3 linked regions of the Caenorhabditis elegans genome follow. The protein of the gene in region 1 purifies or fractionates together with the protein of each later gene. This does not show direct contact. Each region holds a gene or a part of one and is shown in the gene's direction. Other genes may lie near its edges. The genes, in order: wago-1, ZK402.5 and prdx-6.

What was found.
Region 2: the proteins of wago-1 (region 1) and ZK402.5 fractionate together in Caenorhabditis elegans (co-fractionation; one large-scale study listed by BioGRID). This does not show direct contact.
Region 3: the proteins of wago-1 (region 1) and prdx-6 fractionate together in Caenorhabditis elegans (co-fractionation; one large-scale study listed by BioGRID). This does not show direct contact.

What each region holds. Positions count from the first base shown.
Region 1 is NC_003279.8:7,233,828-7,237,582, forward strand, and holds the start of wago-1 (Argonaute protein wago-1), read left to right. Parts: upstream 1-1,556; 5' UTR 1,557-1,580; coding exon 1,581-1,745; intron 1,746-1,791; coding exon 1,792-2,372; intron 2,373-2,416; coding exon 2,417-3,149; intron 3,150-3,197; coding exon 3,198-3,373; intron 3,374-3,416; coding exon 3,417-3,592; intron 3,593-3,634; coding exon 3,635-3,755. Other genes in the region: R06C7.2 (BEN domain-containing protein), read right to left, coding at 46-233, 277-301, 352-674. UniProt on the Caenorhabditis elegans protein: Argonaute protein which is involved in the endogenous small interfering RNA (endo-siRNA) pathway. Interacts with secondary 22G-RNAs, which are RNA-dependent RNA polymerase-derived endo-siRNAs, typically 22 nucleotides in length with a 5'guanosine residue.
Region 2 is NC_003284.9:1,399,708-1,403,462, reverse strand, and holds the start of ZK402.5 (SPK domain-containing protein), read left to right. Parts: upstream 1-2,103; 5' UTR 2,104-2,220; intron 2,221-2,832; 5' UTR 2,833-2,924; coding exon 2,925-2,932; intron 2,933-2,979; coding exon 2,980-3,261; intron 3,262-3,305; coding exon 3,306-3,419; intron 3,420-3,467; coding exon 3,468-3,731; intron 3,732-3,755.
Region 3 is NC_003282.8:216,655-220,409, forward strand, and holds the start of prdx-6 (Thioredoxin domain-containing protein), read left to right. Parts: upstream 1-1,897; 5' UTR 1,898-1,912; coding exon 1,913-1,998; intron 1,999-2,807; coding exon 2,808-3,188; intron 3,189-3,755. Other genes in the region: Y38C1AA.1 (Phospholipid/glycerol acyltransferase domain-containing protein), read left to right, coding at 217-348.

The sequences.
Region 1 (3,755 bases):
GCAAAAATATTTTAATATCAACTGTTGTCATTTTCTTAAACTCACATGGCTTCATTCCACAAATTACGACCACTCTTCGCGTACTCATTTGCAACATACATTGGTGTTGGAAAAAAAAGAAGTTGGAAGTCTGACAATTTGGTGAAGGTGGCACAATGGAAGTGAAATACACGTTCGAGCAATTCGTCATTTTCCGAGATTAAAAAAAAAAGGATTTGAAGAGGTAGATTTTCCTTGAATAAAAAAATCGTTATTGTCGATAACAGGAGAACTGACAAGTTTCAGTTCAAGGGAATTGATTCTAAAATAGAAAAAAAATGTTAAATTTAATCTCGTGCAGAAACTACTTACAAATTTCGAAGCTTCTTGTTCTCGCGTTCAGTATCTTGAAGCTTCTTTCGATTATTTTCCTCAAAATTGGCTAGCTTCGACAGTTGGCATGTGATTTCCTGTGTCCTTTTCTCTGTTTTCGCCGTTTGATCTTTTAGCATCACCGACTGAAATAAAACTTTTTCTTCTGCATGAAACAAGTGCAAAAAATTACCTTTTATTTTTCGTTTTCCTAATAAATTGAATTCTGAATACTTTAAAAACCAATAATTCTGGTGAGACGTTTGAGAATATCTGTACTTTTTACAGTCACGTCGCGAATCGGGATGTACAGCGCTGAACATTTTCCGCACATTTTCGGCAGATTTCCATCTATTTTAAGAGTTTTCGTAGGGACCTTACACAAATAACAAAATCCAGCAGTCTGCGTTGTTCGACAAGATGTGAGAGCAGGTGGTGATGTAAAATTGCCTTCTTGCTGGCGGGAATCCACATAGGTTGCAAACGATTAACTTCATTGCGATCTAAGCTACAAGCCTGAATTAGATGAGTATCATTCAAAATAAAATTAACAACTAAGTCACTTTTTAAAACATGGAAAGCACACAATACTTGTAAAAAGGAGAAAAATAAGGCTGTACAGCAAAAATAAATTCAAGGAGCGTTCGTTTTAACACTGAGTGGGTCTCGCAGCGATCTCCATTCTTATGTACTGTATGCGTTGTCATTTAAATTTTTTAGGACGAAGAAATTGTTTTTTGTATTCTTTTCCGGTTTGTGACAGTTTTCAATAATTTTTGTTAATTTTCAAGATTATTTTTATATTTTAATAATAATCTAGTTACAAAATCTTAAGAAACTTGCTCGTTGAATCTTAAAAATGTAAAAGTGATCTACATTTGATCTAGCCGCCAATTATCGGATTCTGTATTCTTGCGTCATTAATAATGATGATTTTGTACAAATCTAGTCGTTATTTGTTTTTATGCCGCCTCTGAAACACCGAAAAATCTCGAATCATTATTCTTTTTCGTCGGCAATACGAAAATTCCGTAGTTTGCCCTTTCTTCATAACGTACCATTTTCGTTCTAGATTGATCTCTTGAAGAAAACTGATTTATTTGTTTAAACTATTGTTAAATATCTCACAAATTCATAATTTTCTATAGATGTTCTCCAATCTCGCTTATTCGGTGCAGAATATTATTTATATAAGCTTTTTTCAGAACTAATATTGCAATAGTAATAAGATGTCTCCTCATCCACCACAACCGCATCCACCGATGCCTCCAATGCCACCAGTCACTGCTCCACCAGGAGCTATGACTCCAATGCCTCCAGTTCCAGCCGATGCTCAAAAGCTTCACCAAAGCACTGGCAACGACGCATGCATCAAGCGTTTACAACAGTTAAACGTATGTTTATCAGCATTCAAAGATCTTTCTAATGCCATATTTGCAGGTTGAGGATGGTGCGAAAATGTACATGAAGCCAACCGAACCTGGAAAAATGGGCAGACCAGTGGACATCCAAACCAATGTCTTCGGAATTGAAGTCACAAAGGAAACCACAGTTCATCGTTTTATGGTTCACGCAAAGGCCGATTTGACTTCAACAAAGGAAGTGACTTTCACTAAAAAAGGAAAGGAGGACTTCGTCGTTCAGGATCGTCGCGATAAGTGTTGCAACATCTTTTTCCTTGCGGTTGAGAAGAACCCGGAATTCTTCAAAATGAAGGATGGGAATCAGATTGTATATGACGGTCAATCAACTCTCTACACGACGGTCAACTTGTTCTCAGAACTGGATGCCAACGGTACGAAGTCCAAAGTCTTCCAAATCAACGGAGCTGATACCGGCAATGACGACCTTAAGACCCTGCCTTGCATTTCTCTCGAGATTTATGCCCCAAGGGACAACTCTATCACGCTCTCTTCTGAAAATCTGGGCAAGCGTACTGCGGATCAAAACATTGAAGTAAACAATCGAGAATACACTCAATTCTTGGAACTTGCTCTGAATCAACATTGCGTGAGAGAAACGTAAGTGAATTTCGAAAATTATTAAAAGCATCGCTTCATTTTAGAAATCGTTTCGGATGCTTCGAGCACGGAAAAGTATATTTCCTCAACGCCACCGAAGAAGGATTCGATCAACGAGACTGTGTCGACGTAGGAGACGGAAAACAACTTTATCCTGGCCTCAAGAAGACGATTCAATTCATCGAGGGTCCTTATGGTCGCGGACAGAACAATCCATCTCTCGTGATTGATGGTATGAAAGCTGCTTTCCACAAAGAGCAAACTGTGATCCAAAAACTGTTCGACATCACGGGACAAGATCCTTCAAATGGACTCAATAATATGACCCGTGAGAAGGCTGCGGCAGTGATTAAAGGACTTGATTGCTATTCGACTTATACCAACAGAAAGCGCCATCTAAGAATCGAAGGTATCTTTCACGAAAGTGCCACAAAGACCAGATTTGAGTTGCCCGATGGAAAAACTTGTTCAATCGCCGAGTACTATGCGGACAAATACAAGATCAGTCTACAGTATCCGAACGCCAATTTGGTGGTTTGTAAGGATCGAGGCAACAACAATTACTTCCCGGCTGAACTGATGACTGTGTCCAGAAATCAACGTGTCACCATTCCTCAGCAAACGGGAAATCAATCTCAAAAGACAACGAAGGAGTGCGCGGTTCTTCCGGATGTCCGTCAGCGAATGATCATCACTGGTAAAAATGCTGTCAACATTACACTCGAAAACGAGTTGCTCGTCGCTCTTGGAATCAAGGTTTACTCGGAGCCTCTGATGGTTAGTTTGTGTAAATTGTAAAAAAATATATTTGTTTTCTTTTTCCAGGTCCAAGCACGTGAGCTTGATGGAAAAGAACTTGTATACCAGAGATCGGTAATGTCGGATATGGGAAAATGGCGTGCGCCTCCAGGATGGTTTGTGAAGCCTGCGACTGTTCCTGATTTGTGGGCTGCTTACGCTGTTGGAAATCCAGGTTGCAGATTCTCCATTGGAGATGTCAAGTAAGACAAATAGAAATTTACATGAATCAATTCAATTCTTAAGCCAACTCGTCGGAATGTTCATTGATTCTTGCAAGAAGAAAGGCATGGTGATCAAGCCACCATGTGAAACAGGACTTTACAGTACGGAAAAAATTATGACTCAGCTGGAAAAAGTGGCTGCGAGTAAGTGCAAGTATGTCTTGATGATCACTGATGACGCAATCGTTCACCTCCACAGTAAGTTTTCCTTAAGTTTTCATGGTTCATTGAAAATTTCAGAGCAGTACAAAGCCTTGGAACAGAGAACAATGATGATCGTCCAGGATATGAAAATTTCCAAAGCCAATGCCGTTGTCAAAGATGGGAAGAGATTGACGTTGGAGAACATCATCAACAAAAC
Region 2 (3,755 bases), on another chromosome or scaffold:
GTAGTATGTGGAGCTAAATTTCCCACCCCCAGCCAGGGTGCTAAATTTCGCACCTGCCACCCACACTGCAGGGAAAGAAGGGGGAGAGGTGAGTTCAGTTACGGTGATGGCCGAAGGCCAGGGAGCTAAATTTCGCACCTACCCCACCCATGAGAGAAAAGGGGGAAGGCTGGAGTGATGCCGGGGAGCTAAATTTCAAGCCTAGTCAGGGAGCTAAATTTCCCGCCTGCCACCCATGAGAGAGATGGTGGAAGGGTGAGATGTCGGTGGTTTTCAATTTTATATGTATTCTCAAAAGTTATCAGTGCATTCGGCGCGGAATTTTCAGCTTCAAGATTGAAGAATAAAGTTAAGGAGATGTATCAAATTTAAATGTTTGAAGAATTATTCAGTTTTTTGTCGAAACTTTTTTTATTTTCAAAGATTTTCACAAATGATAAAAGATTCCATTTTCCATCCAAATTGTTTATTAAACAAATAAAACGAAAACAAAGCTTTTATTCAGAAAAAAATGGAAATTGTAATTTATAACTTGAATGGCGAGGAGACCAGACACGGTGGCACTTGAATGGTGACTTGAATGGCAAGGAGACCAGAAGCATTTATTCTGTCCTGTAAACGGTAGGGTAAGGTAAAAAAAGACTAAGAAAAAAAACTCACCATACTCTAATGAGTCCTTCAATCTCATCCAGGGCCTCGAGATTGAGAATTATTTTGCGTAATTCTCTGTTCTCCTGACGAAGAAAACGATATAGATTTGAAAAAAATCGGTGCATGAACGCGGTTTGAGTGGCAGGTGCGAAATTTAGCTCCCTGGCTGGGGGTGGGAAATTTAGCTCCACATACTACTGAAAGTCGTCCGAAACTTCTCCAGCAAGCCCAAGCATCACTCGGACACGGCTTTCAATACTGTAATTGTCCAGTTGATCCATGTTTGGCGCAAGCTTTTTATGGAATCTAAATCTAAATTTATTAAAGAGAACCAGGTATAATATTCTCACTTTCGATAATAGGCTCCATCCGAACATCTGGCATTTTCTTTTTTACCGAACTCCATGAAAACTTTTGTTGCCACCAGTGGCTCATTGGCTTCTTTCGTCTTTTCAACAAGAAACGTCATCAATCTTACGTCATCGGCGGAGAGCATGATCTTCGTTGACCTCTTTCGTGCTGCCTTAGAAGATTTACTGTGGATTCTTTCCAACGTGAGTTTTCCGTCGCGTGACTTATAATTGCAGATTCGCATTTTCTTGTCAATCTTAACAGTGCCAGTCGATTTGATCCTGCAACAAACTAAATTCATAAATCTGAAGGTAACATCTCTCCTCACAATGTCATGAACTTGTCCGACACTTTTGCCGACAAGGCAAACGTCACTTGAATGCGTGACACGACACTGTATTCGTTTTTTTCGTTTTATGTTCCGACCCCTACAATACTTTAATACGAATCCTTAAGCATCGTAATTTATTTTCGTTTTTTTTTTTTTGGTTTTTCAAAAATTTCAATTTTTGTTTTTTGGTCCAAACTTTTTTTGGTCCCAGTCCTGTGGCCAACTCTACCTCGGGACAACATAATAGGGGCAACGTTTTTCAATCTCTAAAATAATTTTTGTATAGTTTTATTTGCGCGCATTTGAAAAATCTCATGGGTACGCAAATGAAAAACGCGATTTCAAGATCAAATATATAATCAGGGATTTTTTTAATTTGTTCACATAGATGTTCGGAATCAGGGGAAAATTTGGAGTTATTTAAAAATATTTCCTAGATTTCGGTACCCCACCTTTAATACCTACAGTTGTGACGTAATTTTTCAACACTTTTTAATTTTCCGACACTATTTGAATAACCCCATTCAAAGTTGTATTATTCAAGTCACATGTATTCCGAGAACTTCCTAAATTACAATATATTCGAAATATTATTCATATTGGTAAATATTGATGGATGGATTCCTTTAGTCGACAACATATTGTCACCCCACCATAAAACCCTCAAACATGTTGTCACCGTCTAGATAGGTACGTAGAAAAGAATGACTCACTGTGTTCATATAACCTTGGCGTTAGCAGCTGCACAGCAACATTCTACATTTCCAATCATTCTTTGTTTTACTTGGGTTACTGGTGGTGACCCTCTTCTATTCTTCTAGTTTTCTATATGAACCTTTTCTAATGTTATTCCTATTTTTACTTTAGTAATATTAATTGGTAGAAAAGTAAGTTTTTTTTTGAATTTGTTTCAACAGGTAAGTGGGAATTTTATTTCAAAATATGCAATTTGTTGCTAAATTTTGAGAAATTTATTAAATTGGAAAACTGATAACACTCTTGGTTATCACTTTATTTGAATTTTCGGGCTTTTCTTCTCAAATTTTTTTAATTTTTAAAAGTAGGTGTTTGTCATTGGTGAAAATTATTTAAAACCGCTGAGATAGTGCTATACTCTTTAAATTCTATTATGAAACATTAAAATTTTTCAAATATTGCTTATTAACTTTGATATAAGGTGGATTGATTATTTTAAGTTTAAAATACTGTGTAGGAATACTCAAAGAGTTTAAGAAAAGCATTCAAAAATGCTGTGGAGTAGCGCCAGTGGGAAAAGTGCTAAAACTATTAGAAAACTATTAATATGATGCCAAAATGACCAAATATCACAACAAAACTTTTTAAAATTTTTTTGAAATTTTTTATTTACTGTCAAAAAATGACGATTGACAACTCATTTTTTGCCACTCATAATTCTGGAAGTCGACCAAAAATTTTTTTAAAACTTAAACTTTTTATATTGTAATTTTGTTTCAATTATTCGTATTAAAGTATTGTAGGGGTCGGAACATAAAACGAAAAAAACGAATACAGTGTCGTGTCACGCATTCAAGTGACGTTTGCCTTGTCGGCAAAAGTGTCGGACAAGTTCATGACATTGTGAGGAGAGATGTTACCTTCAGATTTATGAATTTAGTTTGTTGCAGGATCAAATCGACTGGCACTGTTAAGATTGACAAGAAAATGCGAATCTGCAATTATAAGTCACGCGACGGAAAACTCACGTTGGAAAGAATCCACAGTAAATCTTCTAAGGCAGCACGAAAGAGGTCAACGAAGATCATGCTCTCCGCCGATGACGTAAGATTGATGACGTTTCTTGTTGAAAAGACGAAAGAAGCCAATGAGCCACTGGTGGCAACAAAAGTTTTCATGGAGTTCGGTAAAAAAGAAAATGCCAGATGTTCGGATGGAGCCTATTATCGAAAGTGAGAATATTATACCTGGTTCTCTTTAATAAATTTAGATTTAGATTCCATAAAAAGCTTGCGCCAAACATGGATCAACTGGACAATTACAGTATTGAAAGCCGTCTCCGAGTGATGCTTGGGCTTGTTGGAGAAGTTTCGGACGACTTTCTGACACAGTAAAAAATTTTAAAAAGGTTTTTGAGTTAACGAATAGTGATTTACAGAGTTCAAACGGAGGGAATTGTCGTGCTCAATGATGGCAAACGAATTTGCGAGTATGCATCACGTGATGGAAAGCTGAAGTTGGAGGCGGACCACAGTCATTCGGCAAGAATGAAAAGAACATCTGCATATCACCGAAAGGCTGGTCGACACGTGCACATGGTCATGAATGCAAGTCAGACGACGAACCAAGCCGAGAGCGACGAAGATGGCGTAGATTCGGCGACTTCTCTTCCTAGATCTCCGAAAAGAGCGAGAACTGAAATGTATATCCTGTCAATTTCATATTA
Region 3 (3,755 bases), on another chromosome or scaffold:
ATTACCATAATACTTTTTTGGTGCGGCTGAAAATTATGAATTGTTATGTTTTATTTATTATTTTGACGAATTTTTGTTAAAAATTAAAATCATAAAAAAGAAACGGTTCAGTAACTATGACATTTTCCAAAAATTCCTGCAAATTTTCTTGAATATATGGAAATTAAAGAAAATTTTCCATTCTCCAAAACAATTTTTAATTCTTAATCTTTTCAGGAACTCCTACAACGAAACGGAGCAGGAACGACGAGTCCAACGTCAGACTCAGAAGATATCGTGGTGCTCCGACGGGATCGATCCGGAGTTGAAGATGATGATGATGAAGTTGATGAGCTCGGTGGAATCTAAATTTTTTTTAAATCTGAATACTGTATTTTTGTGTTCTTTTTGGATCTCTCTGTGCATCTAAATTTCTGTGTAATTTTCAATTTTGCAGCTTTTAATCTCTTTTTTTGGGAGGTTCTCATTGAAAATATCCAGCGGAAATTGCTACAATATTCAAAAAAAAAAATTCTCGAGAAATCGAAATTTCTAGTAGTTTTTGAGCATTTTCTGTGGGATTTTTCAGTAATTTTTAATGATTTTTTTTTCAAAATTTGCATCCCTGTCCTTGATCTAATCAATAATTTACAAATTATACCCCTTTTTTTCGTAGAAATTACTTTATTTTACAAAAAACCCGTCTTAACTGTGATAAATGTGTACTTTTCCCCCCGTCATAATAATAAATCAAATTTCTATTATTTTTAACGTTTTTTTTTTGCTTTTTTTCCTTTGTTTACTCTACCAATGATTTTATATTTTGATTTTTTTCCTTTTTTCAAATAATTTGCTAGTTTTATCTAAGCTTAGAACCTTTTCAGTTTTTTAAAAAAAGTTTTTTTGTAATTACTTTTTAAAGCGAAAAATCAAAAATTAAAAAAAAAAATCAAATTCCTAAAAAAAACGTTGGAAAAACTTTTTTCTGGAAATTTTTTTTTTAATTGTTTAAAAACAACGAAAAAAAATTAGCTATCTAAATTTTTCTTAACTTTTTTCTGGAAATTATTTGTTTTTGTTTTTAATTTTTGCTGGGATCTATTGAATGGAATTTTTGAAAGAACCAAGAAATGGGCGGAGCCTATTCCAAATAATTTGAGGCTGAAAAAAGTGAAATAAAATTGTTTTATTTACTTTGTGTTCGGGTTCTCAAGTTTCCTTCAACAAACTTTTTGGTCTAAAGCTCTTTAGATTTTCAAAACAAAAAACCAATTAAATTTTCTTGTTTTAGAACAATTTTAATGCTGAAATCTAAGAAATTGAATTTTAAAAAACCAAGAAATGGGTGGAGCTTATTACAAATAATTTCATTGTCCGACACCACTCCAAATATCCGATTGGAAAGTGAAGTCTAACACATAAAACAGATGACATTCGCCGGGAACAAAAACCACAAAATAAGCTCCGCCCATCTCATGGCTTTTATGTATAAATGATTTAATACGCACGTTTCAATTAAGTTTTACTGAATTAATAAAAAAATTCTTTTAAAAAAATTCTGAAATTTTGAAAGCTTTTGATATTTATAAAAGCTTAAAGCCAATATATGGGCGGAGCCTATTAGCGATTTTAATTTGGATTACGCTCCGCCCTTTTCTTGGCTATTTTTGAGTTGTTTTCTCGAATTTTCACATTTTTTCGAGCAACACGAAGGTGTCTACTGGTACGGTAGATCACGATCACCTACACAATCATGTCAACATTTCCCTGAAATAACGAAATAAATTGAATTTTGTTGTGATTGGAAATTTTTTTTTGTTTTTTCTTTGCTGAGCCAAATCATATTATCTTCTTAAGAAACTATTTTTTACTTTTTTATTGAAACATTCAAAAAACTGAAAATTATAATAAATTTCAGATTAAAACTCAAGAGATGAAGCTCGGAGACACCGTTCCAAATTTTACATTCGAAACGGATCTTCGCAAAAATCAAACTTTGCACAACTACATTGGAGAACAGTGAGTTTGGAGAAAAAATTGTTAATTTGGTTGTACTTTATTGGATAGTTTGAGTTAATTTGAAAGGATTTTGAAAAAACAAATTTTTTTGGAAATTTTGAAAAAAAATGAAAAATTGAGTTAAAGGTGGTGTAGCCGGATTTTTTTAAATTGCTTTATTAGACTCAAAATTGTCTGAAAACAAGGAATTTCGTTATGAAATTTCATGAAAATTTCTCAAAAAAAAAATTAAGACGGCTCAAAAATGGCCTAAAATTAGTTAAAATTAGAAATTTGACCTACTTTTCAATGTCGCCTTTACTCAAAATTTGACGATGATTTCAAAAAAAATTGGTTCCAGCCGCTTCGACATTGACAAGTCGGTCAAATTTTCGATTTTAACTAATTTTAGGCTAGTTTTTAAGCCGTCATAACTTTTTTTTGAGAAGTTTTCAAGAAGTTTCATGTTGAAATTTGGCGTTTTCAGACAATTTTGAGTCTAGTAAAGAAATAAATAAAAATTCGACTACTCCACCTTTAATAACATCTATTTTCCAAAAAAATATGGATTTTTTTTTTCTAAAAAATTAACGATTTACTATATAAAAAATGTTAAAAACATTTCGAAATTTTTTTTTTCAAAAGTTACATTTTCAGGTGAATTTAAATATTTTAAAAAAGTCCTGAATAATTTTCGCAAAAAGTTGAAAAAACACATTTAAAAAGTATTTCAGAATTTTTATAATTTTTTTTTGCAAAAATCTACTTTTTCACTTTAAAATTCTTTTATTAAAAAAATAAATTCCAATCCAAAACGATCCAATTTTCAGATGGCTGATGCTGTTCAGTCACCCGGCCGACTTTACGCCCGTCTGCACTACAGAACTCGCCGAGCTCGTCAAATTGGCTCCCGAATTCCGCAAACGCCATGTTCAGATCCTTGCGATCAGTATCGATTCATCAGAAACTCATCGTGATTGGGCAAAAGACATTAATTCGGTGGCACAATTGAGCAATTGCGGAAGCCATTTGCCATTTGAAATCATCGCCGACACGGATCGATCGATTTGTACAGAACTCGGAATGATTGATCCGGATGAGATGAATTCGGAGGGAATCTGTCTTTCGGCTCGTGCTGTGATGCTTTTTGGACCTGATAAGAAGCTCAAATCGAAGATTCTCTATCCGGCTACGTTCGGCAGAAATTTTGTGTGAGTGAGAAGATTTCGAGGGGAGAGAATTCAAGTTTTCAGACATTTCTGGATCTCAAAAATTCACAGAATTCGAATAATCAATAGATTTTTGTTGAAATTTGAATTCTAAAAAAAACTATTTTTGCTTTTTTTGCAAGTAGATTTTTGCAAGCCTCCTGAAACAAAAAAATTGAAAAAGCTAAATTTTCCACAATTTTCGAATGACTCCGTTTTTTTTAAAACTGTTTGCCAAACTACACGTGGTGTCAGAGTATCTCATTTTGGATTGATCTACGTTGATCTACAAAAAATGCGGGAGAAGAGACGCAGAGTTTTTAACTGATTTCGTATGATTAAGAACGTGCTGACGTCACTTTTTTTTGGGCAAAAAATTCCGGCATTTTTTGTAGATCAAACCGTGATGCACGGATTTCTGGCTTCCCTTATAAATCGAAATGGCAGAGTTGGCCGAACTAGGCCATTTTGGGTCGGAGAGATTTTGTGTAGATTTACGGAGCGCGAAAATTCAATGAGAAAGGCCAGAACCCAGTGGTAATGGGACAGCCTGACACCACGTGAAACTAG